Rattus norvegicus: one gene and its partners. The protein of the gene in region 4 purifies or fractionates together with the protein of the main gene of each other region. This does not show direct contact. Links are inferred from orthologs where the notes say so. Each region holds a gene or a part of one and is shown on either strand. Other genes may lie near its edges. The genes, in order: Crtc2, Brd1, Cdk18, Ywhae, C1qbp, Pabir2 and Mark3.

The links.
Region 1: the proteins of Ywhae (region 4) and Crtc2 purify together in Homo sapiens (affinity purification with mass spectrometry; 3 studies listed by BioGRID and IntAct, with this or other methods). This does not show direct contact. The link is inferred for Rattus norvegicus from reciprocal best matches to the Homo sapiens genes YWHAE and CRTC2.
Region 2: the proteins of Ywhae (region 4) and Brd1 purify together in Homo sapiens (affinity purification with mass spectrometry; 3 studies listed by BioGRID and IntAct, with this or other methods). This does not show direct contact. The link is inferred for Rattus norvegicus from reciprocal best matches to the Homo sapiens genes YWHAE and BRD1.
Region 3: the proteins of Ywhae (region 4) and Cdk18 purify together in Homo sapiens (affinity purification with mass spectrometry; 3 studies listed by BioGRID and IntAct, with this or other methods). This does not show direct contact. The link is inferred for Rattus norvegicus from reciprocal best matches to the Homo sapiens genes YWHAE and CDK18.
Region 5: the proteins of Ywhae (region 4) and C1qbp purify together in Homo sapiens (affinity purification with mass spectrometry; 4 studies listed by BioGRID and IntAct, with this or other methods). This does not show direct contact. The link is inferred for Rattus norvegicus from reciprocal best matches to the Homo sapiens genes YWHAE and C1QBP.
Region 6: the proteins of Ywhae (region 4) and Pabir2 purify together in Homo sapiens (affinity purification with mass spectrometry; 3 studies listed by BioGRID and IntAct, with this or other methods). This does not show direct contact. The link is inferred for Rattus norvegicus from reciprocal best matches to the Homo sapiens genes YWHAE and PABIR2.
Region 7: the proteins of Ywhae (region 4) and Mark3 purify together in Homo sapiens (affinity purification with mass spectrometry; 9 studies listed by BioGRID and IntAct, with this or other methods). This does not show direct contact. The link is inferred for Rattus norvegicus from reciprocal best matches to the Homo sapiens genes YWHAE and MARK3.

The regions. Positions count from the first base shown.
Region 1 is NC_086020.1:178,010,188-178,014,006, forward strand, and holds part of Crtc2 (CREB-regulated transcription coactivator 2), read left to right. Parts: intron 1-223; coding exon 224-325; intron 326-398; coding exon 399-515; intron 516-1,524; coding exon of another isoform or gene 1,525-1,526; coding exon 1,527-1,588; intron 1,589-2,220; coding exon 2,221-2,289; intron 2,290-2,455; coding exon 2,456-2,559; intron 2,560-2,649; coding exon 2,650-2,679; intron 2,680-2,803; coding exon of another isoform or gene 2,804-2,833; coding exon 2,834-2,898; intron 2,899-3,021; coding exon 3,022-3,071; intron 3,072-3,190; coding exon 3,191-3,435; intron 3,436-3,787; coding exon 3,788-3,819. UniProt on the Homo sapiens protein: Transcriptional coactivator for CREB1 which activates transcription through both consensus and variant cAMP response element (CRE) sites.
Region 2 is NC_086025.1:121,680,977-121,684,795, forward strand, and holds part of Brd1 (bromodomain-containing protein 1), read right to left. Parts: intron 412-3,819; coding exon 280-411; intron 1-279. UniProt on the Homo sapiens protein: Scaffold subunit of various histone acetyltransferase (HAT) complexes, such as the MOZ/MORF and HBO1 complexes, that acts as a regulator of hematopoiesis.
Region 3 is NC_086031.1:46,114,163-46,118,630, reverse strand, and holds the start of Cdk18 (cyclin-dependent kinase 18), read left to right. Parts: upstream 1-1,363; coding exon 1,364-1,487; intron 1,488-1,683; coding exon 1,684-1,763; intron 1,764-2,819; coding exon 2,820-2,945; intron 2,946-4,168; coding exon 4,169-4,225; intron 4,226-4,468. UniProt on the Homo sapiens protein: May play a role in signal transduction cascades in terminally differentiated cells.
Region 4 is NC_086028.1:61,081,233-61,085,762, reverse strand, and holds the start of Ywhae (14-3-3 protein epsilon), read right to left. Parts: upstream 2,830-4,530; 5' UTR 2,714-2,829; coding exon 2,650-2,713; intron 1-2,649. UniProt on the Homo sapiens protein: Adapter protein implicated in the regulation of a large spectrum of both general and specialized signaling pathways. Binds to a large number of partners, usually by recognition of a phosphoserine or phosphothreonine motif.
Region 5 is NC_086028.1:56,200,167-56,204,524, forward strand, and holds the start of C1qbp (complement component 1 Q subcomponent-binding protein, mitochondrial precursor), read right to left. Parts: upstream 3,020-4,358; 5' UTR 3,019-3,019; coding exon 2,793-3,018; intron 2,366-2,792; coding exon 2,215-2,365; intron 533-2,214; coding exon 439-532; intron 1-438.
Region 6 is NC_086039.1:137,910,335-137,914,153, forward strand, and holds part of Pabir2 (PABIR family member 2), read right to left. Parts: intron 1,173-3,819; coding exon 1,028-1,172; 3' UTR 253-1,027; coding exon of another isoform or gene 183-252; 3' UTR 1-182.
Region 7 is NC_086024.1:136,535,134-136,538,169, forward strand, and holds the end of Mark3 (MAP/microtubule affinity-regulating kinase 3), read left to right. Parts: intron 1-1,332; coding exon 1,333-1,678; 3' UTR 1,679-2,276; downstream 2,277-3,036. UniProt on the Homo sapiens protein: Serine/threonine-protein kinase. Involved in the specific phosphorylation of microtubule-associated proteins for MAP2 and MAP4. Phosphorylates the microtubule-associated protein MAPT/TAU. Phosphorylates CDC25C on 'Ser-216'.

The DNA of each region.
Region 1 (3,819 bases), on a different chromosome or scaffold from region 4:
GACAGGCCTTGCCCAGAATGGTTTTTCAGGCAGTAGGAGCTCATTGGTTAGGAAGCTGCAGAAGGGCTGGGTGGGTTGTTTGTACCAGGTCTTGCTTTTCCCCATCACTGCCTTTGTACTGATATATCTTAGGAAGCAGTAGTGTATTCTGGTGGCAGAGATGGCCAAAGGGAACAGTACTTAAAACCTTTCTTGACGTACCCGTTTGTCTTTTTTATCTCAGTTACAGGCCCAAAAGCTGCGACTGGCTTATACAAGGAGCTCCCATTATGGTGGTTCTCTGCCCAATGTTAACCAGATTGGCTGTGGCCTGGCTGAGTTCCAGGTGAGTGGACACAAGCCAAGGAGTGTAGGCTCTCAGGCTACTTCCCCTGCTGATTCACCTGTCCTTTTGGCAGAGCCCCCTTCATTCACCTTTGGATTCATCTCGGAGCACTCGGCACCATGGATTGGTGGAACGGGTACAACGAGACCCTCGCAGAATGGTGTCCCCACTCCGCCGATACCCCCGCCACATATCCTTCAAGAGTGACTTAAGGGCAGAGGAATGATAGGAAGGGGCTCTTTAGAGACTCATGGAGGGAAGGAGCTTTCTCCTTTATTTGCTCAGTTCATTTTTCTCCAGTTCTTTTACGCAGCACAGACTCTTGTGATGGACAGCTGGTGTTTCCGTGGCTCTGTTCTCCTCAGTGCTGGTCCTGGCCGGCCTTACTTCTGCTCCCTCGATTGTAAAGCAGTAGGACTCCCTGTTACCTGGGAAGGAGATTCAGGCCCTTCTCTCATTCTGTTGTGAATCTTCATTCCTAGAGACTCTACCATATTCGTCCCCCTAACCCTTCTCAGGCATTTGCTTAGATTGTTCTGACTCTACTAAGCTAGGCCTGATTCTTTTCCTTCCTTCCTTCCTCCCTCCCTCCTTCCCTCCCTCCCTTCCTCCCTTCCTCCCTTCCTTATTTATTTAACCCTCTGAGCATCTCTCTATGTAGTCCTGGTTGTCCTGGAGCTTGTTATATAGACCAGGCTGGCCTATGTAGGTCAGGTAGATAACCTCCTGCCTCTGCTTCCTAAGTGCTAAGATCAAAGGGGTGTGTTTGTTTTTTTGTTTTTTGTTTGTTTGGTTTTGGTTTTGTTTGGAGATGGTTTCATTCTGCAGTCTGGGATTTTCTGAAACTTGGCAGATCAATCAGGTAGGGTTCAAACTTTTGGTGATCTCCTTGGCACACACTTGGGATCACAAGTGTAGACCACGATGCCTTTTTTTATTCCGTTTTGCTATTTGCTTATTTTTGTGGCCCTAGGACCTAACAAATTAGGTGGCCTTCACTGAAATATAACCCTGGTTTCTCTTCTTTCTTCTTTCCTTCTGTTCGTGTGTGTGTGTGTGTGTGTGTGTGTGTGTGTGTGTGTGTCAGTCACAGCATCTCACTATATTGGGATTACAGCAGTGTAACTGACTTGTATTACTACATGCTGTCTCTTATTCTCATTTGTTCTCTCTACTGTTTTCCTTAACTACAGCTATTTACATTGACAGTTCTCCCTATAGCCCTGCCTACTTATCTCCTCCCCCTGAGTCTGGCTGGCGAAGGTGAGTCGAGAGCAGGTAGAATTTCTCCCCCTTAGTCTCTGACATGTTCCAGAGTGGCTGAGGTGGGCTAGGTACTGGGCTAAGGTATCAAAAGTACCTCCTCCTGTAAAGGCCAAGCTGGGAGGGTGGGGCAGCTGGGTAGGTGGTCAGAGTCCAGACTTGGCCATGTTGACACGAGTGGCCAAGCCTCTTAATTCAGCAAGCAGAACCAATGGAATTGTAGCCAAGCTGGGGTGTGTATAAGTGGGGGGAGGGGAGAGTGGCAGGGTGGCAGGTGAAAATGGCTCCTTTTTCATAGTAGTGGATGCCAGGTGTAATGCTGTAACCCTGTCAGGTGTTTGAGCCCCTCCTTTTCCCATCTCAGCTCCAATATTTGTGTCCAGGAAACTTGCTAGGCTTCAGTGTTTCCACTCAGCTTGTGTTGCCAGAGAGGAGTTTCTGTATCCAGTTCTTAGATTGAGCAGGGGTGGGAGGCTCATGGATCAAAGGCATCAGAAGAGCCAGAAAGAGGCAGGATCCTGGGTACTAAGGCCTTTGTGTATCCACCCTGGCTGCTGTACATTTTTCCTACCCCCTTGCCTTTCTCGTCCATTGCCAGCGCCTTCTTCCTCCTGATAACATTTCTATCCTAGGATGATGCCCTGGGGCAACCTCCCAGCTGAGAAGGGGCAGTTGTTTAGACTGCCATCTGCACTTAACAGGTGACGGTCCTTGATTTCTTTAGTCCACATCTCTTCCTTGTACTTTCTGGGGCCCTATTCTATCTACTCTACCCCCCAGTTCTGGACCAGTTTGAATACCCCACTGCTGGGCAGTGTTTGGTACCTGGAAGACTATTACTGCTACTCATTTCTGCTCCTCCAACAGGACAAGCTCTGACTCTGCTCTTCACACAAGTGTGATGAACCCTAACCCCCAAGACACTTATCCAGGCCCTACACCTCCCAGTGTCCTGCCCAGCCGGCGAGGAGGTAGGTGGTCCCAGGGAGTAACTGTGGGGTTTTCTAGTAAAACAGACAAATAAGTAGGCACTGCAACCGCCCCTGTTGCACCCCATGCAGGTTTTCTGGATGGCGAGATGGATGCTAAAGGTATGTGTGTGTTCTTGACCAGTTGTAAATGAGTGCCAAATGTCTTGGGCAGAGTGGGTCAGGGAACAGTATTCCCTCTTGGCTACCTTTGCTTCTTGTCCTGCCTTACTGGATCCTTCTCCAGCTTTCCCATCACCAGTCTTTCTCTTTCAAGTCCCTGCTATTGAGGAGAACTTGGTAGATGACAAGCATTTGCTGAAACCTTGGGATGCTAAGAAGGTAGGTAAGGGCCACTGGGTGTCTTCCACTATCCCTCTGCTCTCCTCTTTCCCTGGGACAGCCCTTCCAGGGTCCCCCCCTGAGATCTGTCCTCATTTCTAACCCTCTTCCTTCTCTTCTCAGCTGTCCTCATCTTCCTCTCGACCTCGATCCTGTGAAGTCCCTGGAATCAAGTAAGTAGCACTATATAGCTGATGTGAGATGGAGGGAAGGAAAGAGATAAGAAAGACTGATTTCTGCTCTTCTCTGACCACTTTCTCTTTGCCTGTCTTTCTTCTTCTGTCTTCCCTAGCATCTTTCCATCTCCTGACCAGCCTGCTAATGTGCCTGTCCTCCCACCTGCCATGAGCACAGGGGGCTCCCTACCTGACCTCACCAACCTACACTTCCCCCCTCCACTGCCCACGCCCCTGGACCCTGAGGAGACAGTCTATCCCAGCCTGAGTGGGGGCAACAGTACCACCAATTTGACTCACACTATGACCCATTTGGGCATCAGTGGAGGTCTGGGCTTGGGCCCCAGCTATGATGTACCAGGTGAGTGGTTACCTTGTCCTGGTCATGTGACCAGGCTAGACTGTGACATGTGACATGGCTAGAAGGGTGAAGGGGACAGAAACTTGATCTGGGATCCTGTGACTGCCCACCGACTCCGCACCTCATAACCCTCATTGTAATTCTCACCAAGCAAGAATGGGTAGGTGTGACTTTTCCTAGAAAAAAAGACAGACAGTAACCCCCAAATGGGTAGTGCTGATCCAAGGTCAGGGACAGAGTAGGGAGTACCTCGTGTTGCTATAGTATGGTCACTGCTACCCATTCTGGTCGGAAAGGAGCTGAGCTCCCATCAGTAATATTGGCATCTCTGGTTTTTTGTCTGTGTCTGCAGGACTTCACTCACCTCTTAGCCACCCGTCCCTG
Region 2 (3,819 bases), on a different chromosome or scaffold from region 4:
CACTCCAACCATCAGCACAGAGCAGCCTACGTGAACGCTACCACCCTACCACAAGGCAGCCTTCTCTCTGCAAGGACAAGTATTCTCCTTTAAGACATTGAGGCAGTGGCTACCCAAAAAGAACACAGAGGTACCACAGGACCAACTATAAGGTAGGGATATGCTGTAGGGAGGGGACAGCACACAGAATCAGCAGGTACACAGGGGCCAGCAGCAAGATGTCCATCTAGAGAGAGCCAGCCCTGAAGGTGGCAGCTCCCGAGGGCCCCACACACTCACCTGCTCCCGTTTGAGTTTCTCCCGCTTGCGCAGCAGCTCGATCAGCAGGCGGGCACGCTCTAGGTCATGCCGTAGCCGCTGCCAGTACTTCAGCTTCTCTTTGGCAGCTTTCATCTCTTCATCATTTTCTCTCTGAGAAAATTAAATGAAACTTTCCATCAGTCAAAGCCAGAAGTTCCTGCCAGGGGTCTAACAAGCTCATACAACAAGTGAGACTAAAAGGGTAACAGGACCTGGGACCCAGTGACAAGGAACAGGAAGGTCTAATGGGACCACGGCACAAGGGGTCTTGGTTTGACTCCAGGAGGTAGGAATGGAGGGAGTATTAGAAAGGAGATGTACAAAAGGTACAAACCTAAGCAATCCTTACTGGCAGCGGAATATTACACAGGCTCAGTTCGGGGCTCGGCAGGTAAGTGTAGGGATCACTTCTAACTAACCCCATAGACTAGCATGGGCACTGTAGTTGCCAGTCACAGCTGCCTTCTCAGGTGACAGAGCAGTACACCAGATAGCACCTCTCCTAACTTGGTCAGCATCTTGCACCAGCCCCTCTCTACCCTAACCATCAAAATGTGCAAAAAGTACAGCACTGGGAAGTCAAGCGACACAGACAGTAGCAGAAAAGCAGTGGGGCTCTGCCTGGTCACATGGGATGTGAATCCTTGAGAAGCTCAGAGTTCTAAGCAGGATTAAGAAGACAGAAACCCCGGGCTGGAGAGATGGCTCAGCGGCTAAGAGCAACGACTGCTCTTCCAAAGGTCCTAAGTTCAATTCCCAGCAACCCCACATGGTGGCTTGCAACATCTGTAAAGAGATCCGGGGTTGGGGATTTAGCTCAGTGGTAGAGCGCTTGCCTAGGAAGCGCAAGGCCCTGGGTTCGGTCCCCAGCTCCGAAAAAAAGAACCAAAAAAAAAAAAAAAAAAAAAAGAGATCCAATGCCCTCTTCTGGTGTATCTGAAGACAGCTACAGTGTACTTATATATAATAAATGAATAAATTTAAAAAAAAAAGAAGACGACGACAGACTCCTGATGGAGCCACTCAAGGCTGAAATGTCCAAAGGGTACTCTTACTACCTCACAAATGTACAGGGGACAAGAGCCAATGCCACAGGGATAGCACATGTCCCTCGATAGCAACCAAGGACACCAAACAAGACCAGAGCCCTATCTACAAAGGACCAGGTTTTCCAGCCACTTCCTAAGAAATTCAACATGCCACATCCTCTCAGTAATCCATGCATCTTATTTAAACCAAGTTCCCCAGAGCTCTGCTCTCCCAACCCAGATATCACTCTTTCCTGCCACCCCATAGTGAGCCTGTCCAAGACCCGGGTCCTCATCCAACACAATAGTCATCATCCAAAGCTATATCCCCACTCTCTATTCTGTGTTAAAGACATGGGATGACCTCCTTGCAGTAACACAGTGTCCTGTCCCTATGGTAAAGGGATGGAGAATAGCCTACCCAAAAGTTTCTGCACTACTGGACAGTAATAGCCACATCTGTCAACCACGAGCAAAGTGCTGACAGCCAGCTGTAGAACACAGACATGAGACCCTTCTCTCTCTGGACAGTTTTGCCTCTCACAGCCCAATGACACCACAGCAGAGATTCTGCAACCCAAGCTACCAGCACACTGGTCAAGGATGGAGGATCTCAGGGAAAAGTGTCACCGACCAAAAACTCTGTCGACAGCCACTCTTCATGGTTGAAAATGACAGCACAGAATGGGTATGGCATGATCTGTCTCAATGCACATACTTCAGCACCCACAGTAATGTACGCTGTACCTGATATTACCGACAATTCTTAAGCATTTAGTTGGGGTTGATGACAGTATCATCTCATATAGGCCAAGTAAGTAAATACAAGGAAAGGGAGGTTCAGAAACCAACCACCACCAGGTGTGTCCATGTACACCTTTAATTTCAACTCTTAGGAGGCAGAGACTGAGTTCTATGAGTTCAAGGCCAGCATATATAGCAAGCTCCAGGTCAACCCGGTCTCAAAAATAAACAAAGAAAAAAGAAACTAATACCCTAACATCTGGACAACTTCCTATCTGCTACTTAGAAACAGACTTGGTTACTCACAGAGAACCCCCATGAAGCAAAAGAAATCTCCCGATTGCCAATAGATCTGAGCTTGAGTATTTAGGGATAGGCAAAACTCGGTGGTTTGCTCGTGGCCTGGTTTTAATCTTTATAAGGTCATGGGGTAACTGGGCCACTGTCTGTACTCCAACATGCCTCAGGCTCATGAAGACAGGACCCTGTACACCAATCTACACCAACCATCCCATCTATGAACCAGCTTTCCCAGTACGATCCTGAAGCAGTCTACTTTGGTACATAGCAACCAATGCTGGGAGTCTTCCAGGAGAGACTTCTGAGAAGAGGAAGCTCACGCCCAAGAAGAGCACAAGCATTCAGTGTTTCCACTCCTAACACAGGTCACGATCTAGTGCTGGGATAAAGGAGGACGGCAGAAACCCAGCCCTGTGACAAGGACCAGTCCAGCAGTGAGGCCAAGGGCCCCTGTACTGGGAGAACTGGTCAGCGTATCTGTGAAGCACACAGCAGATCGGCAGCAGTGGCTCCCATACACTTCAACCATGACCCTAAGGGCAGCTAGGCTCAGCCATGTCAGACCCAAGACTTCCAGAATTCTATGAATAAATGGGTACAAGTAGAGGCCCAGAGCTAGAGGGAAAGGAAAACAGGAAATTAAAAAAAAAAAAAAAAAAAAACCAAAACAGGATGAATGGGGGCTTGCACCTGACAAACTGTTGGACCAAATCTAAGGAGCCACACCAACCCACCTCCTACTATACCTCAGCAGAGGGCACAAGCAACATGCCTGCTTTCCTACCAGAGTAGGGCCTACGGAGTCACCGCACAGCTGGGAAGCTTCTAGCCACCACAGTGAAAGACTCCCCACAACACCAACGTCAGTGATGTCCTCTCATAGCAGCTCATCCTGTCCCACCATCCCTATGCCTCATCCATCCTCCACAAGGTTAGTCACAGTAGAGAAATCGCACAGCCTTTTTCCAAAGCTGGGCTGAGCAGAGACAGCTAAAGTCAAAGGTAAGTCAAATTCTAACATTCAGTATTTCTAGTCTATAGATCCAGGCTGAGACGGAGCATACACGATGTCAAAGGCAAGGCTCAGGGCCATTACATCAAGCCTTACTAAGACAATGTGGGTATAGTTTACAACTTCCAATTTCATGTCCTGCCTGGTCCAACACAGCAGAGCAGACCTCTCTGCCATGGACAAAGCCTTCTACTTCCCTTCTGGTAATTCTAGAATGACCCAGCCCAGAACACCACAGAGCTTGCATCCTCACAATTCGGTGCTCCCTCTCTCTGACGGCCTCAATGTCCTGTGCAAAGGCCTGCCCTTTGACAGGGATGACCATCAGGGGGCCAGCCTTGTTTCCTTCCCTTATCACCTCCTTCCTATCTTCCTTCCTGTAGCCTCTTCTTCCTCCCAGATCCACCTCTCTAGGGAAGCTACCCACAGGGACAC
Region 3 (4,468 bases), on a different chromosome or scaffold from region 4:
TAAACCAGGAGGATTCTGGAGGGGCCTGGTTGCCTTGGCAACTAGGTGCTAGCCAGCCACAGGCCTGAGCATCCTCCAGAAGTGGGTTAGAAGTAGGCCCAGGGAGGAGTGCAGATGGCCCCTCCCAAAACAGGGATGTCTGTTGCCTTCCTGATGCCTTCCTGGCCAGGATGGAGAGGTCAAGAGTTATATAGCCTCTGGTTCCTGCAGCCCCACTGTAAGTAAAGGCATTGGGGGCCCCAGGATGGAGATATGGCTGTAAAAGATAGCCTATAGCTGGTAGAAGGTAGGCCTATAGGAAAAGCATGATGGCCCATGCCTTTAATCCCAGCATTCAGGAGGCTGAGGGAAGTGGATCTCTGTGAGTTCTAAGCCTGCCTGGTCTATATGAGTTCCAAGCCAGGCAGAGATTCACAGTGAGACTATCTCAGAGTAGAGATAGAGGAAGGGGAGAGGGAGGGAGAAAGAGAGAGAGGGGGGTAGGGGGCTAGAGAGGTGGCTCAGTGGTTAAGGACACTGACTGCTCTTCCAGAGGTCCTGAGTTCAATTCCTAACACCACATGGTGGCTCCCAACCATCTGTAATGGGGTCTGATGCCCTCTTTTGGTGTGTGTGAGGGCAGCAACAGCGTATTCCTATTCATAAATAAATCTGAGAGAGAGACAGAGAGAGAATAGAATGAAGTGCCCACCTGTAGAAAGCAGAGTTCAGAGGGCCAGCTCCTGCCCCAGTGTCCTCAGGCGAGAGAACCCAGGCTTGCTCAGAGGACTGAGGTGATGGACGGTCCAGCAACATAGGCGTCCCCTTTCCCCATCTGGCTGAGTTTCCCACTCTGTCCCTGACTTGCACACCGCATCTGCATCTGCAGCACAGGTGGAACTGGGCCATGCATTTACTCTCCTTCGATCTCCTTCCTAAGGACCCAGGATGAGCCAGAGAGGGGACATTCTGGTATCAGTGAAAGAGACCACGGAGTCTGAAACCTGCTGACAGGTGGCCGGCAGCTGCCAGTCCGTTAGGCTCCTTCAGAAAGAGCAGATGGCCCGAGGGCCGTGCAGTTCTGACATCCTGCCCTAGAGATCTCTAGACCCCCTGGAGGCTGAATGTCTGGAGTGGCCTCTTGCAAACCTGTAGCTATAGCTATTGATGCCGTGATGCCAGGGGAGGGAATATTCATGGTCAGAAGATAGCTGAGGGTCACTGGAGAAGGGAACAGGGTTAGATCCTGCAATCATGGAGCTGTGGCTCTGGTCACGGGAACCTAAGCATGCCACGTGCAGAACCTGGCTCCCACGAGTCCCCTGTCCACATTGCCTTGTTCTCTCCTCTCTGTCCCAGGACCCACCTTGGACCCCTGCTGATCATGAACAAGATGAAGAACTTCAAACGAAGGCTTTCCCTGTCAGTGCCCCGCCCAGAGACCATTGAGGAGTCATTGACCGAGTTCACCGAGCAGTTCAACCAGCTCCACACTCAGAGGAATGAGGGTGAGGGTCAGGCCACCTAGCTCTTTCCCACCCAGACTCCCTGTGACTGCTGCTGACTAGCTGACATTAAGGAGAAGGGGTGGTGTGCTCTGGGCTGGCGACAGACTGTGGAGTGGGAGGTGGGGACTGACACTTGTCCCACTCAGACATGCCACTCAGTCCCGTGAGCTGTAACCAAGCGTGTTCTCGCCCACAGACGGCAGGGACGAACCTGGGCAGCTGTCTCCGGGCGTGCAGTATCAGCAACGGCAGAACCAGCGCCGATTCTCCATGGAGGTGAGGGTGCCCCTTCCAGGCTGCACGGGTCAGGCATACATCACAGCGGTATATATACATGGCAGGGTGGGTGCAGCTTATTGTGGATAAGTGTGGATTATTTGGCGAGGATATATGCCAAGTGCTAGAGCATTCTTGGTTAGACAATAGACTTTTTATTTTTTATTCTTCGGATATCTTTTATTTACATTTCAAATGTTATCCCCTTTCCTGGTTTCCCATCCATAAACCCCCTGTCCCCTCCCCCTCCCCCTTCTTCTATGAGGGTATTCCCCCTCCCCTACACTGGGGGTCCGGCCTTAACAGGACCAAGGGCTTCTCCTTCCATTGGTGCCCAACAAGGCCACCCTCTGCTACATGCAGCTGGAGCCATGGGTCTGTCCATGTGTACTCTTTTTTTTTTTTTTTGGTTCTTTTTTTCGGAGCTGGGGACCGAACCCAGGGCCTTGCGCTTCCTAGGTAAGCGCTCTACCACTGAGCTAAATCCCCAGCCCTCCATGTGTACTCTTTGGATGGTGGTTTAGTCCCTGGGAGCTCTGGTTGGTTGGTATTGTTCTAATGGGGTAGCAAACCCCATGGTTTTTTTTTTAATTTATTTTATTCTATGTATATGAGTTACACTGTCACATACACCAGAAGAGGTCATCAGACCCCATTACAGGTGGTTGTGAGCCACCATGTGGTTGCTGGGAGTTGAACTCAGGACCTCTGGAAGAGCAGTCAGTGCTCTTAACCACTGAGCCATCTCTCCGGCCCAAACCCCATGTTTTTATAATCCACATACCCATGCCAAGTATAGGAAAAAATGTGCTTATGAAATTACATTATCTGTGACAGGGTGAGATATATGTTCTACTGTGGCCCAGAGAGGAGAAGGAACCGTCTAAAGGTCACACAGCAATCCTTGCAGGGCCACAAATGTTCACCCTTCAGGTGGTTGTGAGCCTGAGGTCATAGCCTGTGGCTTGGCCTTCCCTATAGGGACAGATGATCCAGAATGAGAGGCAAGGGCCTCCTGGGGCCAACATGATGTTCCTATCCCATCTGCCACCTCAGGACCTCAACAAGAGGCTCTCTCTGCCCATGGATATCCGCCTGCCCCAGGAATTCCTGCAGAAGCTACAGCTGGAGAACCCAGGGCTGCCCAAACCACTCACCCGAATGTCCCGCCGTGCCTCCCTGGTGAGTCCAAGAGTGTGAGACACCAGTGTGGGAAGACACTCCTGGCCTTCTTCACCCCAGCTGAAGCCTGTAGTGGTTTCCAGAAAGCTTCCTATGCCTCTGGCGCCACCTGCTGGCCCCTGAGGATTTTGATAAGTAGTCTCTCTAAGTCAAGGACACACCTGGGCATGGAGCCTACAGTCCCTGAGTCCCCTGGGAGCCCCAGAATTTCCCCCACTTAAGACCAATAAACCACTTAACTGGGCTACATAGTTCCAGGTCAGCCTAGGGCACACTGTAAGGTTCTATCGGAAACAAACAAAACAAACAAAACCAAAGCAGGAGTATCTGAATAGGGTTCAAGTTGTGTTTTGCTATGCAGAGATGTGGTTTGAGCATGTGAGCATCTCCGGAGAAGCCACTGTGTACATCCACAAGTTCACTAAAGGGAACAAAGTCCAAAGAGCAACTGGACTCACTTTGATGGAGCGAGATAGGCAGTCAGTACTGTGTGTCCAGCCCCACGGAGAACATTGATTAAGGAAACATTTTCCTGGCCAATGAGAAAAAAAGCCCACACCTCCCCAAAGCGGGGAAAACCCTCAACTATGGTCATCTATTCCTGCTAGAAGGCCACACAATGTGTTATATAGCACACATATGTTATGTAATGCTTAATAAAAAATGAAAGACCTCCCAAATAAAATGAAACAACAAGCAAAAAGCCAACCACATAGAAACAAACAAAAGACCCATCGGCCCGCCCACCACAGGTTTTCAGTCCCAGCTGCCTGTTAGGAGCTTCTAGGAAGCCTCTCTGGTGAGTGGGTTTCACATCTTTTTGTGACTCATCCTGACCAGAGCTGGATGAACTGATGGCTGGGGAACTGGGCTCTGAGGTGGACTCCCACATAGTAGAGAATGACGGGCCCTCTCCCGAGGAGCTGGTAACCTGAGCTGGCAGGCAGCGAGGTGGCAATGGGCAGGCCCGGCATCTCAGTGTACCTATCTCTGACTCACGGAAGAAGGAGTCCCTATTTCCAGAGGGCCTCCAGCTTTCACAGGGATGAAGGGAGGAGAGAAAGAAGGTTTTGAAGCTGTCCTTCTTTGAACTATTAGCCTTGGTTCTTCTCTATAGGATGGGGGCATCTCTCTTCCTTCTCTCCTGGGAACTGGGAGGGAACATTGACTAGGAAGGTCTGCTGGGGCTTTGAATCTCACAGTCTCCCGGGTCTGCTTCCCAGTCAGATATCGGCTTCGGGAAACTGGAAACATACGTGAAACTGGACAAACTGGGGGAGGTAAGAGACCGACGTTGCCCTCTCTGGGCAGCAGGTAGGATGGTTTTGACTCTGTTCTGCCCCTCGTGGCTCCTGACCCATGGAGTCACATTATCCTGGGGAAGCAGCCTGGCCTAGCCTCCATGGATGTTGTTATATGCCCTATGCCCTGCTCTTGAGGACAGAGGTCTCTGCACAGAATCTAGTCTTTCTTCCCCCCTTCAAGTAGCTATGGTTTGGATTTGAATCTTGTTTCTTTCACTT
Region 4 (4,530 bases):
GATCACTTCCTATGAATGCCTTCTCCCTTTCTACTGATTCCCTTTTCTTACACCAAATCACAGGAGTGCTTCCTATTTCCTTCCCTCATCTAGTGTCTGAAAGGGGCCAGTCACCACATGGCTTTTCTACAACACGACACTCAATAGCCAACAAGGCCAGGCTTTGGTCAAAAATCTTCATCATTCAAACCCCAAGTATGGTTTAACTTGTCATTTATTTGGAAATACAATCTTATTTGCAAATCCCTTTTTAAAATGACTTAGAAACGAATCAAAAAGCTTCCCCATACCTCCTTTTTTTGGGGGGTTGGGGGTATCATATTTACATAAAGCCTAAATTACCAGAATGTAATTTCACATTTCCTCCCAAGAACACAAGGGGGGGGGGGGCTCTTCTGGAAGGTGAGAGGTGAAACCTCCACTACAGCCAACTCTCCTGGTTCAAAACACACTACAGATAAGGCTCACCTGGAGCTGCAGTAGTATTCCCCGTCCCACCTCCTCCAGCTCCCAACCGGAGCCTAGTTCAGTACAAACTTAAATCTGCAAGACAGGGGTTGGGGATTTAGCTCAGTGGTAGAGCGCTTGCCTAGGAAGCGCAAGGCCCTGGGTTCGGTCCCCAGCTCCGAAAAAAAAGAACCAAAAAAAAAAAAAAAATCTGCAAGACAAAATTTAGTTCATCATCTTTCCTAAATTGGAGGTTTTGAAGCCTGCTGTTCTACTTTCCAAATGCTGGAACAGTGGTGACTTTGGCAAAGACGTATGACTAGTTCAAAAGTCACCACAGGAGAAACTGGCATTCAAGGAAAAAGGGCCTGACCTAGCATTTGAGAAGCAAATGGTTTAACTTGGAAAAAACATGAGGAACACTTAATTCCAAAACTTGTCTCATTCGACCCTACCACTCCCTAAACATTAAACTCACAGGACCCAGTCTTAGTGTTCATTCCTTTAATCTCGGGGGGGAGGGGGGGAGCCTGGGAGGGGGAGGGTGTCAGGAGAGATGGATCTCTGGGAGTTCAAGACCAGTCTGGTCTACATAGCATGTTTCAGAACAGCCAGAGCTACACAGCAATTAATTAAATCACAGGAACCATGTGTGTGACTTTTCATTTTTAAAGACTAGCTTAACGGCCTATTGCCTAACTCCAGTTATCTAGTTACAAAATTAGAATTTTGTACCTAGGCTACACAAGCACAGTAGATGTCAATGAAATTCTCAAAAATGACTGAATTCAAATTAGCAGGCGCTAAGGATGTAGCTAAGTTGAGAGGAGAGCACTCATCTAGCACATACTAGGGCCTACGTTCCATCACCGGGAGGTGAGGGGGGTGTCAAATGAACAAAGAGTAACTACTGAAATTTGTACATAAAACCATTCACTTAAAATAGATAAAACAGAGCTGTGGTGTAGCACAATATTTGAGCACTTGTCTTGCCTGCATGCAACCCTGGGATCGAGCCTCACTCATGGAACAATGAAATCATAAAACAGAAAGAAAAAGAAAAAAAAACTACAATCTTCTACATTCCTAATTCAAAATCCCCAAGCCCCAACTGAGTGCTCAAAATAGGTAAGGATCCCCAAGCCAAGCAAGAACATGCATTCCAAACTTAGGTTGTCAACCAAACGTGTTACTAAACGTTATTTGAATTAACTATTTCTCAACAGGTCTATGTTTCATAATGCTAAGTGTGAATAGTAAAGTCTTCAATTTTACAAACGGGTAAACTGAGGCACTGGCACTGCAAAGGGCAATCAGTACTAAGGAGTCAAGGCAAGCCTTGGCCTCCTGTATTCTTATCCATCAGAACTCCATGCTTGTGAAGGTTGGGGGTTGGGGGGCCAAACGCAGGAACTTTGGGATATCCGGGGTAAGAACAAACGGAGCATGAGTGAGGTTGTGCACCTCCCCGGAAGAAGGTGAGGCCGAAAACCTCCCCAAACCCTCAAATCCAAGGTGTGTCGGCCAAAGGGAAGAAATCCAATCGCAGCATCTCAGCTTGCCTCCACCCAAGGATAGTCTGCAGTGATTTCCAAACACTCCACCCTCACCAAAGACTACTCTCCACCACCGGCCCAAAGAAGCCGTCCGCTCCGGAGGCTTCTCCTTTGTGAGGCTCCACAGCCGCCGCCCCACACTGGGCCTCCGGGGAAAAGCCACCGCCCCCACCCGCCATATTTCCCTGAAAGGCGCCGGAGCTACAGCTCCTAGATTCCGCCCTCTCCCGAGTGACCCGTGCTATTTCTCACACCACCCCACCCAATTGTCCTCCACACCCCGCCGCAATCCCGAAACCTCCCGTGGGGATTGCACGGCGGGAGACGGCACTCGCCATCTCCTCCCCCTCCCCCGCCCGGGGACTCGCCCTCCCCCTCCAGCCGCCATTTTACAACCAACTCCTCCACCCTACACCCCGGCCTGCTGGCTGGCGAGCGTCTGCAACCTAAGGACACCGGAGGGGTCAAATTCCTAGGCCCGGAGACTCCCACCGCTTCGGGAGCCCGCAGGCCATTTCCTGCTTCCCGACCCACGTCCCAAGCCAGGCTCGGAGACGATGCCGCCATTTTGTCTCCGGTTCCCGGCCTCTGTGGGCGGCGGCGGAGGGTCCGAGACTTCCAGCCCCCCGACACCCCCACAACTCACCGTCGTATCGCTCGGCCTGCTCTGCCAGCTTCGCCTGGTACACCAGATCCTCCCGATCATCCATAGCGGCAGCGGCTCCGGCAGGGTCTGCACGACGGATGGAAGCGGATAGCGTCTCCGACTCTCTCAGCTTCTCGCTCCGCGTCCGAGCAGTAAAAATGGCGGCGCCTCAATCCGGGACTTCCGCCTGCGCACGCGGACAACTGCTCAGCTCTATGGCAACCGCTCCCTGGCAACTGGCGCGGGGGGGCGGGTCCGGGAGTTCGGCGCCAGAAAAGGCTGGAACCTGCACGACGGACGCCCCTCCTCCGTCAGCTCAGCGGGCGACTCTGCGGCGAGGCGGGAACTGCGACTGCGACAGAGAGCGGCCCCTGGAGCGGCTGGAGGCAGGTCGGCTTAGACTGCGGGAGGGGAGTAAACCAGAAGCCTGTGCTAGGCAACCGCGGGCTGGCCTGTGGGCGACAGAGCAAGAGGCTTTATGAATTCTTGCTACGGCAGGCCTTCCTCATTGAGATCAACCTGCCCTGTGCACTCTAGCACATTTTTCTCATCCGTGTGCCCTTTTCAGGTCCTTTGAACCCCTAGGTAAAGAATTGAGAAATGAAGAAGGGAGAGCTCGAGTTTTCACGCATCACCATCTCTCTTGCTCACACACTGTAAGCACTTTCTTCTCCCCCTCCAGCTGTATTTTTATCTCTTTGGCCTATCATAGATAGGACTTTTGTTAAAAAGCCTCTGTTTTTGACTCATGTGCGTTGGTGCGTGCGTTTAATCCCAACACTAAGGAGGTAGAGGCAGGAGGATCGAGTTTGGATCCAGCCTCATCTACAAAGCAAATTCCAGGTCAGCCTGGGCTACATTGTAAAAAACCCCCATCTCAAAAATAAACAAACCACACAGAAAGGAAAGAGAAAGAAAAAGTGATCAATCTAAACTAATTAAGGGAAACCCTCACTAGAGGGAAAAAAGACAAGAAAGTGGCTTGCCTCATTCGGAGTGCAAGGTGCACCTGAGTAAGGGCAAATTGATGTGGATGAGTTAGAAATAAAGAATTCTCGCCGGGGCTGGGGATTTAGCTCAGTGGTAGAGCGCTTACCTAGGAAGCGCAAGGCCCTGGGTTCGGTCCCCAGCTCCGAAAAAAAAAAGAAAAAAAAAAAAAAAAAAAAAAGAAATAAAGAATTCTCAATGGGAATTGCTTCATTTGCAATGGCCATGCCTATTCTGCTTCCCAATGGATTTTCAACATCTTATACTCAATATCTGCTTGCTGCTGAGCCATGCAAGAAAAGGGCCTCAAAGTGTGAAATAGAAAGGTTGGGACCAAATTACCGTAGGCCTGAGGTCACAAGCTGAGAGGCTTGCATCTTAGCCTATGAACCGACAGGAATTGTCTTGTTCAAGTGCGGAGACTGACCCCAGAGCCTCGAGCATGAGCTTTACCACTGAGTTATAGTCCTAGCCGGGTAAGCCGTGTTTTGATGATTCTGAGTGGAAGATGACATCATCATAATTATACTTAAGAAAAGTATTACATATTTGCTGAAGTAGTGATTCACGCCTATAATTCCAGCACTGTGGAACCAGAAACAGAGGGATTGCCACAAGTTCCAGGCCAGCCTGGACTAAAAATACCCTACCTCGAAACACACACACAGAAAAAGAAAGGAGATTGTAGTGAGTTTTGGTTTCTTTAAAAGCCCAAATGTTATGTGAATATGTTTGTGGGGTTTTTTTGTTTTTGGGGGGTTTTTTTTCTTCTTTTTTTCAGAGCTGGGGACCGAACCCAGGGCCTTACCACTGAGCTAAATCCCCAACCCCAATATGTTTGTGTTTTAATCCCAAGTGTGGGATAAGAGGCTGCTTCACAGCAGGTGATTATGA
Region 5 (4,358 bases), about 4.9 Mb from region 4:
GACGTTCCTATAAGTTGCTTTTGACCTCTACAATTGCACGCATAAGCCCCAAACATACAAATAAACACAATTTAAAAAGCCCCGCCCCCGGCCTTCCTATTTTGGTCACATGACTAGTGTTGATTACCCACTTGTCATCTTTCACACTGAAAACACTCCAAACGATAGCTTCTGGATACTAAGTATCCCCACTCCCCAACACTGGCAGGGGTGAGGGCACAGGCCCGTGATAAACCCTAAGCCCTTAGGGGACAACACTCTACAAACATGGTCCATCCACAACTCCAGCTAAAACTCACTCGGAATGACTGCATTACAGGTCTCAGGAGGCTCACCCTTCACCTCACCCTAGCAGGGAGGATTTTAAAAAGAGTGAAAGTGAAACAGTTCTTGCTTTTGGGGACAGAAATCTTGGCTGTCTGCCATGTCACTGCTTACCTCCTGCTCTTCGGCCTTCTGCCCCTGTGAGGGCTCCTCTTCACCATCAAAGGTTGGAGGGATGCTATTGTTAATGTTGAAAGTGACAGTGATCCTAGAAAGGCAGGTAGAGATACACCAAGGTACACATTAACCTAGTGGTAACAGGAGAGCAAGGCCCACTGAAACAATGTCTCCATCCTAGCCACACAGGGAAGTGAAGAGAATTTCATCTGAAGTGTACCTACAAGTTAAATGACTACAGCTGTGGATGAAGCTGCCAGGTTGGTGTCCTGGGGTCTTCCCATGGAAGCTAATGGAGGTGGACAGCCATCTGCCCCGGAAAGCCTCACAGCCACTGCAGAGCAGATTCACTTTGCACAACCACAAACTAGGAACTGAAACACCTAGTGGCTTCTTTCCCTTCTGGGGGGATTCTGGAGCTCAAATAAGTACCCTGCCCATGCTTGGCGGAAGTTCACAGCTGCACCCTGGCCCTTGTGTGACTGTAAGAATTCTTATGTGATGGACAGCACCTGTTCTAAAGTCAGAGACAGTTCCTTTGTCTCAACACCTGGAAAAGAAGTTCCGCTTACACAGATTCAGAGGGCCAACCAACCCAAGAAGAGTGTACTGGGGGCTGCTCCCTGGAGTCCAACTGGGCAATGCCTTGCTGCCACTTTGCCCCCGAAAAAAGAATGGCAAGGTGAACCAAAGGGCATGTACAACCTGCGATAGCCCAGACTAAACCTACTTCTTCCTTCCCTCCCTCCTTCCCTCTCTTATTTTGGTTTTTCAAGACAGGACTTATTTGTGTAGCCTTGGCTGTCTTAGTACTTGCTGGTGGACCAGGCTGGCTTTGAACTTACAGAAATCTACCTGTCTATGCCTCCCAGGGTGATAGAATTAAAGGCGGTGAGCCCCACCGACACTCAGCCTGGCCTTGAACTTTCTAATCTACACACACACACTTACTGCTAAGCTTATAAACCCCCGCACCCCCAATAAAACTTTCTTGTACACTGTGCTCCTGAAGCACTGGGGATGGATCCTGGAGCCTCACACAAGCTAGAGAAGCACTTAAGAGTCCAAGTAGACTTAGCCAAGGAAGACTGTGGGTGAATGGGTAACACGAAACAGCACAGACAAGGGTTTAACGGTTTTAGGGGTGCCAGGTGTGGTGGCGCATGTCTGCAACCTCAGCACACAGGTGTCTGAAGCAGCAGGACCCAGAGTCTGAGCCCAGTCTATGCTACACAGCAGCCACACAGAGACCTTGTCTCAAACCGAATCCCTTGAGGAGAGGAAGAGCTAAGTTTGGCTAAGAACCTTCTCCCTTTGTCTGATGGCCTTTCTACATGGTAACTTCTTCCTGTGACTTAACAGTTACACACGTGCACTTTCAACTATTATAAACACAAGCCAGACGGGAGTTCTAAACAAATGATTTACCAGTACTATTAAACAACAAAACAACAACCCAATGCTTAATCCAGACTGGCACAGCACCCCTCATTAATAACCCAATAACTGCGTTTGCCCCTCCCACAGGCTTCCCTCTACATACTCTGGAGCTGCTTCAGGTCTCCTTAATACAAGCCATAGAAGCTTGTATTCATTCAGTGAATGCACTCCCTGGAACCTAAGAACTTTCCCAAGTTTAATGCTTTCTTAAAGCCATTTTATCAAAGCATTGGGCCTAAGCTCAGGCTCTTCTGGGGATGGTCAGAACAGGATGCTGTAACCAGGAACTTCTGACTTGAGAATCCAGTATACAACCCCTGGGCCAGTACTTACTTTTCTCCGGCAACTTTGCGCAATAATTTAGCCTCCGTGCCGTTCACTTCCAGCTCCCAATCTCCAGACATTTTGGGAAGGGACTTATGCTTCTGGATCTTCTTTTCTTCCTTAATTTCATCAGTCAAAAATTCAACAAAGGCCTTGTCTCCTAAAAGAAAGGCCAAAATGATCAACAGTGAGAAAAGGTAGTTGCTCTAACCGATTGACTCGGACTGCGTGTAATCTATTCTTAAGGCTGTTCTAAGACTGTAGCGTAAATCACGCCTCAAAACGTCCGTTCCTCACTCTATAAAAACACCAGGATATATTTACTGAGCTGAACTGATATTACTTATCATGAGATGGTTATTTCTCATCATGAACTCATTACTATTACTTCCCGTATAAAACAAAAGAATTTCCAACTATCCTCTTCCATGTCCAAAAAGACGTGGACCCAACAACCACACTTTGAAACCACGACCCTACCGACTTTGCTAAGCCACATTTTCAAGACGCGAGAAGGGGAACCTGCGATCATGAGGGCCAGTTCCGAGCTGGATCGCCGCATTCCGACTAGGGTGCGTGAACCTTACCTTCCGTGTGCAGAGCGCCGCAGCCGCACGCGCAGGGAACCGGGGGCTGCAGGAGGCCAGAGCGCCGAGCGGAGCCGGCTCGTACGCTGAGCAAACCGAAGGGCCGGAGGCATGGCCGGGGCGCGGGCTGCAGTAAATGCCGAAGCGGCGGGGCCGGGATGGAGGCTCGGAGGCCCGTGGCGGCGGCACCCAGGGCGCGGGGCACGCAGCGCAGCAGAGGGAGCATCGCGGGGTGGACACGTGCAAAGGGAAGGACGACCGGGCCAAGACACCGTGTGACCTCGCGAGCCGCCGGAAGCCCCGCCCTCGCCCGGGAAGCGCTATCCACGTCGGAGGACTGCAGTACCCGGGCCGGACCGCACCGCGCCCTCTGCTGGGAGCCGCCAGCGCAGCCCGAGAGGCCTTGGCTCAGCTGTATTCTACCCTGGCCATCAAATCTCCCTTGCTGCCCGTTCTCCCCAATTCACCTGCTTTTCTCAACCCAAGCCACACTTTGTTACTTCGTGGAATACGCTCAGGTCTCATCCCAACAAAGATCACTTAGCGGTCTTCTGAAACCGCCTAGTTCTGAAAAGCTCAGACTGACCTGCATGCAGCTGCTGTGGAGTGGGCATCCAGGCCTCACATTAGACCCAGAATCCCAAGAACAGGATGAAGGATTTATGCTGGAAACCTCTGCACCCCCTAACAATTCGTGTACCGGTTTTAATGGACCATCGTTTTTTTTTGGGGGGGGGGGAGCAGGAATAGATGGCTTTCATCATCACATTTAGGTTGAGAATCAGGGATAACAGGCTGGAGACAGGGCTCAGTGGTTAAGAGCACTGTTGCTCTTACAGAGGCCTGGAGTTCTATTGCCAGCATCCACACGCCTTCTCACAACCATCTACCTCCAGTTCCAGGGCAGCAGACACCCTCTTTTGACTTTTACCAACACCATGAACGAACGTAGTGCAGACATGCAGGCAAAACTCTCAAGGACATTAGAAACACACACACACAAAACAAAACCAACAAAATCCAAAACCCAACCCAAGAAACAAAAACAAAATTTAACCAACCGAATTTCACACACACACACACACACACACACACACACACACACACACACACACACACACACCCCAAAAACCCCGCTCATGCTCTCTGGTCCTAGCATCTGGGAGGTAGAGGCAAACAGCCGAGTTTAAGGTCAGCCTGGTTACACAGCATGTTCCAGAACAGCCAGGGTTACATAAAAGACCTCTCAAAACACCAAAAGCAAATGTTGGATACCGAGTCTTACTGAATGAATGGCAATGAAACTACTGTTTAATATTCTAAACAGCATTCTTTAAATAAGGGAAAGGAGGCCCAAAATAAGAGGCCACACAGATCGTATACAAGATTCAGGTTTTTATGGACTTAATAGTCAAAAGTAATTTTTGAGCATTATATACAAGAACTGTTTCTTATGTTTGAGATCAGAGAGATTAGAGTGCAAGTCCAAATCCACTTCTTATTTTTCTACACTACAGCAATCGATATAAAATTGTTTCCTCACAGGTATAGTCTAGCTTATGTGCT
Region 6 (3,819 bases), on a different chromosome or scaffold from region 4:
TCGGGAACAAAGCAAACAGAATAGCAGCCACATACAGAAAGCTTCCATTTCCACAAGACCCTACGACACATGTCCCCTACATGACGGCAACGTACCCCAAGGCACCTAAGGCCTCATAATACTACCCAAGACACTGACAGCTTCATGGACGCTTGCTTTTGTACAGTGCTTTGTGTAAATAACTATTCGTTCATTTGTAGATGCTCCACACATCTGGTCAAGGCAGGAATTTCTTCTCCTTGATAACACCACCTAGAAATATCAACAATATTTTACATATTCCTTAAGGCACCAGGTTTGGGGAGAGAAATAACAACTGTGGTAGCAATGTCCTAAGAACCTGGGGTGACTAATGCAGGCATCCTGTGAGTCTAGTCACATTCTCCACTCTACAATCACTCTCCACTGCATACATTCCAATAGCAAAGAAGCAATATGGGTGGTGATGGAAGCGACTATGGGTTTCTTCCCCATGGTGAGAAATGGCAAGGAAGCAGCTCAAACAGGCAAGGGAAACAAAACAATGTCCTTTAAAGCTGATGCAGAAGAAATGAAAATTTGATAGCAATCAAAAACAATTTGAATATTACCATGAAATAAAGAGATGGGAAAGTATGTAGTCAACAGAATTTTTATCAATCTCTCAAGCAAGAGAATTTCTGATCAACTCTGTTTTGCCACTGTGAGGGAAATGAACAATTATAGAAAATATGCATTAGTGTTCCCCTTAAATGTTTGAAAGTAGGTGCTCTTTGAGGCACTAGGGAAAAAAGTCATCCAAGCAATCAAAAATGTGTATTTGAGTTTTAGTCATCAAAGGCAAAATGAGGTCAGCCCAAACAGATGTTAGTAAGGTGACTGCTTGCAAAATTGAACTTTAGAGGAGAGATGCCCAGAAATAGGCGCATCATCGGAATGGTTGCAATCTGCCAAACTTTAATCCCCACTGTGGATCAAAGTTCTCCGCATTCCTCACTGAATGTTTTATGTGGGAAACAGTTAAAACACTCAATCAGAAATGGGTAAGTCACTTGGGTGAGAGATCATCCATCAAGATGAACGAAGAGCATGGATTGGAGCATGCTACTGGAGACTCTGCGGGAGCGCTGCCTGTAGCCAGTGAGTCTGAGGACAAGCCACTGCTGACACTACTGCCATCCAAAATATCTGAACTGAGGACAAAGCAAAAAGAATTATAAGCGAATGCATGTATCAGGGTCAACATAACATGCAATGACATGATTTCAAGGACACACGCATCAGTACAGCATTGGTAACTAAGAAGAAGCATAAAGGCCACAGCGCCGAAATGCATACTGCACTATGTTGAGAGAGCTGTGAAATTCATAAAGCCACAGAAACCCAAAGTGAGACGTGCCGTGCCATCCTGTATTATTTGATTTTCCTTCTGTAGGCACCTGACTGACATATGATAAGTGTTCCTCTGGACGTGCCATGTTTATTATGAAGGGGGTCCTGACCTCTGTCTAAACCATTTCTCTCTTCATATTTATCTTCTTACCTTTCAAGAGCCCTAGCGCAAGAAAAACTGCTGTTCTTAATAGTTACTAAGCTATCTGTTCTCAAACTTGCTGAGTGTGCCTTCAGACATAGCACTGCTATTTGTTGAGGAAAGTCTTTCAACTGCCCCCAAACTGACCATTTTGCTTGCCCACACCCAAGAGGCTTCAAGGCACATATTTTGAATGATTTCCCCCTTTGCTGTTCTCATTTTATGAATCTGTTCTCCTGTTTCCTTTCAGACCCAAAGATCCCCCTGCTCCCCATAAAAGCCTCCTTTTCTTCCAGCTCTCAGCTCCTCTCCAGCTAAGCTTCTGAAATGCTCTGTTCTCACAGTCCCCATCACATCCCTTTAATCTGAACAGCTGGCCTCTGGTCTCCTCTTCTCTCTGAAACTGATGCGGACACCAAGGGCCTCCATAAGCCATCCCAGGAATATGCTTCCCACCCAGCCCAGAGGCTCACTGTTCCCACAATCAACCTTGTCCCACCTTAAAAAATTGGTTTCTTTATACTTTTCATGGAAATGAAAGCCTCTGCCTGACATCGAGCTGCCTTTCTTGCTTCGATTCTCAGAGCTCTATGTTCTGCATTTGCCTTGAATTTACTCACTCACTTATTCTAATATTTACTAAGTGCCCACCAAGTGGAGAAGTTAGGTAGATTTACAGGATAGTAGAGGAGACAGAGATTTAACTATTCAAGTTCATATGAAAATAATTACACTTTGTGACATGAGTAATACACAGAAAAAAGATTCAGGGAGTATAAGAATCTGATCTGATCTAATGTGGAGTAACAGTGAAAGGATTCTCCAAGGTGAGATCTGTGTTCTCATGTGAAAGGTGAGTAGGCATTAAGTCGGGAAGGGTTAGGAAGAAGCAAGGATAGTTCTGGAATTAAAAGCAAGCAAGTACAGAGGCAGGATAGAGTCAAGAGAACATAGTGCGAGCCAAGCTGAAGGAGTAGTCCGGCAGTTTAAGTTTACACAGACTTTTTTATTTTTTGAAATGGAAGAAAAACATAGAATCAGAGAAGGAATTATGACTCAAGGCAATATGGGTTCTAGTCTGCCACTAACTCCTTGGCCAAAGCCCATTTTGTTCTTATAGGGGGGATTGAAATGTTTTGATTTGATAATTTGATATTTGTGTAAGTTTCCAAGTTGATTTCTTTCCATTGTAAAGAAGCTTACAGTACACTTGTAAGTCTCTGGCCTACACTGTCCTTCTGAAAGACGACCTTTCCTCTCCTGCCTTTCTACTCATGCTTTGTGAATGTCATCTCTTTCTTTCATGATTTTACCTGCAGTGCTAAGCATGGGGCCTAGGCCCTCACACATGCTGGGCGAGCATGTTATGAGTGGAGCTACAGCACAGTCCCCTCTGCCATCTCTTTCTGTTGCCTGGGGGTTGTTTTTAGGTGGAGACAGATTACAAATAGGTTTTGGAAGACTAAAATTTAAAAATGGAAATAGTCTACTCCACATTGCCCCTACACTATGTGCATGGCTGTCAAATGCATCATTAATAATACCACTTTTAAGGAAGAAGTCTGGAAAACTAAGTTGGCACTGATATTTGCTAAACTACATGGCCAAATGGTCCAAAAATATGAATTATTCAACAAGTGAAAAAAGTCACACAGATAATCCAAGACACTGGAAAATCAAAAGGACCTTTCTATTTGCCTTTGGAACATATGTGGATTTTCCCCTGCAGCTTTCTGCCTAGACTAATATTAAAATGAATTGACTTTCCTAAGGCACATATTGGCCAAGCAGCACAAGGGCATGCTCTATGCCATTTGGCAGGAAGAAAAAGACTTAGATTAAAATTTGGCCACCAGTTAATCTGAAGATAGAGAAAGAATTCCTTATTGCACACAGCAGAATGACAACAAGCCTAGGATTAGAAGATTTTATGTACCAAGACCTGGTAGCTTAGGTGACTCCTGTATTCATTCCAAAACAAAATAAGACTATGCAGTGAAATGGTTTTCTTAACATTGTTGATTACTTACAAGAAAAAATACTGACAGAGACGTTACCAACTAGAAAAAAAAAACCCTGAACATTTAGAAATGTCTTCTTCACCACTACACCTGAAAGTGTCTATTTTTCTCACTGTTGGAAAAGTGGCATAGCTACACTTTGTCTCCACGATAATTTAGCTTCAAAACATAGTAAAGATTAAAGTAGATATTGCTACTGAACTGAGACCGGGCTTCTGTTCTAGTTAACCTGGCAGAACAATATATGGTCATAGAAGCTGAGACTGCAGGCACATCGCCCACCTC
Region 7 (3,036 bases), on a different chromosome or scaffold from region 4:
AGTCTTCCTTGATGCCTCCTGCTTGACTACTGTCTCTGAGGCACTGAGCACTGTGTAGGCTTCCCTTTAAGGTGGAGGTGAGGAGGTATTCTCCTCCCAGGCCTGTCCCAGCACAAAAGCAGACGCTGCCTTTCCAAATATGTATTGCCCCATCCACCACAGGAAGGTGGTGATGGCACCTTCCTGCCTCCTGGTATAGAGCAAGACAAGGCTTGCAGTGCAGGTGCTCTGTAAAGGCCAGCGCTTTTCAGCACGTCACTTTGATCTAGTCGGATGGGTCTTAAGTGCATTCTGTACTTTCCTACCTCTGCATTTGGTGGCAGTATCTCTGTTCAGAACAAAAACTCATGAGTCATGGTGCATACACCTAGAATTTGTACACTTGGGAAGCAGAGCAGGAGGCCCAGTGGGTCAGGGCAAGCGTGAGCTCCATGAGATGCTTGTCAAAGAAAGAAAACAACAACCCTGAAACTGTTTGTAGTTAAGGTGGATTTTATTATTTTGTGTTGCTTTCTACCTCCTCACGTAAGGTTTCCTGATCCCAAAAATGCTTGTCTCTGTAGCCTGTGGAGTATCTAACGTAGCAATTTAGCTATGCTTTGAGCCTCTCACCTTGTGCAGACCACTCATTTCAGTTCTCCACAGACGGGTGAGCTGTAGCAGTTCATTTCCCTCTGTCTCATTAAAATGACATCATCTAAGTTGTGGGTCTTTGTAGTGCTTGGTTTTGCCCATCTTGAGATGGGCTTCACTATTGTTCAGATCACCTCAAGCTCATGGCTTCTTTCTCGCTTCTGAGCAGCTGATAGCACAGGAACATGGCCTGGGTGTTTTCAAGAATGAAATTAGAATTGTAACAAAGGAGAGAAACAGTAAAAAGGTAGATGGTGATGAGGGAGAATGGATGGCTTTCCTGTGCACTCTGATTCTGACTGAGGGACAGCAACACTAAGCTGGGAACACCGAGTCAACCTCTGAGCACTGGTGTCTGTGGCGCTCATGGCAAGCACAGCTATTAGTAATAGAGAAGCTGTGTGTGATAGAGCAGGAGGTTGCTGGTCTGCACCCGCCCAAGTACAGGAGTGGACTCTGTTTTGCCTGATTTCACAGATTCTCAGGACAGATGGCTCCTGGACGTTTTCCAGCCAGGTAGAATTTTGCGTGCATTCTCTATGTTCAGGGTTGGAGATACAGGTGTGTGTGTGCCTCTGGTAAATGTGCATGGGATCAGTTGTGTGAGCTGAAGAAGTTGATGAGTAGCTAAAGTTTAAGAAAAAAAAAAAAGGTTCTTTTTCTAGTGCAATTAAAAATCACCCTGCCTGTGCATTTCAGTCGCAATGTATCTTCGGAACAAAAGGATGAGAACAGAGAGGCCAAACCTCGGTCCCTGCGCTTCACCTGGAGCATGAAAACCACTAGTTCCATGGATCCCAGTGACATGATGCGGGAGATCCGCAAAGTGCTGGACGCCAATACCTGCGACTATGAGCAGAGGGAGCGCTTCCTGCTCTTCTGTGTCCATGGCGACGGGCACGCTGAGAGCCTGGTGCAGTGGGAGATGGAAGTCTGTAAGCTGCCAAGACTGTCTCTGAATGGGGTCCGGTTTAAGCGGATATCAGGGACATCCATCGCTTTCAAAAACATTGCTTCCAAAATTGCCAACGAGCTAAAGCTGTAACCCAGTAATTATGGTGTAAATTAAGTAGCAAGCAAAGGTGTTTCCAGAGCACTGATGGAAATGTGTAGAGTAATATTTAGGCAATAACGTGCATCTTCTAAATCATGACATTAAAGTCTGAGGACGAGAGCGGGCCTGGGAGCGAAGGCTGGCCTTCCCTGCGAATGCACTACATTAAAGTCTGTGACCCCGTGCCTCTGTCTTGTTTCCATTGCCCTGGGGGTCAGAGTGTGACACCGTCTGCACCACGAGACCCTGTGTGTGCTGTGAGTGGATGGCTGTGTGGGAGCCGTCTCCTCGAACTGGCAGCCAGCATTACTAGTACCTCTGCGGGAGATCATTTGGTGCTAAAACATTACAATTGCCAAGAAGGAAAATACTGAATTACTGCTAAGAATTAACCTTAAGACTAGTTGATAATTAATACAGGTTTACAGTTCATGCCTGTGGTTTTGTGTTTGTTTCGTGATTTTTTTTTTTTTTGCTTTTTTTTTTTTTTAGTGCAAAAGGTTTAAATTTATAGTTGTGAACATTGCTTGTGTGTGTTTTTCTAAGTAGATTCACAAGATAATTAAAAATTCACTTTTTCTCAGTAAAACCTTGCACTGTCTCCTAATGCTCTACTGAAGCCTTAGCTCAGGCAGTCCTGCAGCTCACTGCTGCTCCTCCCACTGGGCACAGACGTCCCCCACACCCCCAGCTTCGGGTTTGAAGCACCCTTTCTCCCAGCCCTCCTGGTCCCTGGGAGGGGGTGGTGCAAAGCCTCGAGCAAACGCCGGGCCCTGGCCTCACTGAGTTGGGTTTTTTTCTGTGTGGTACCTGATAGTCCTCACCCTCCCTGTGATTCACACATAAATCACACCTACAGCTTCTCCCCAACACCTACATGGGTAGATATAGGGGTGGGGAAGTGAACTTGACACAAAGAAGTTGTCACCTTGATTGAGAGTGCTGTTTTAGGTGGTTGTGGCCTGGGGCATGCAATCTGGACTAGTGCTTAAGTCACGGCTGTTTGTTGTCCTGTCTGCTGTGGTCAAGACAACGCAGATGAGGACCTCGGAACTCAGATTGCAGCAGTCAGTCAACAGCAAGAGTCAAAACTTAGTGCTAGAAAGATTGCTGCGTGGTTAGGAGCATGTACCGCATCTGCCAACGGCTGGTTTTGATTTTCAGCATCCACATATGGTGGTTCACAATCACCTTCAACTCTAGGTCCAGAGGATCCAGCACTTCTGACTTTCATGGGCACTTGTATCACATGCACTTTATAACACACACGCACACCACATTTACATGTATTTAAAAGAAGTGAGGGTCCTAGGATAATTAGGGCTACACAGAAGCACCCTCTCTTGAAA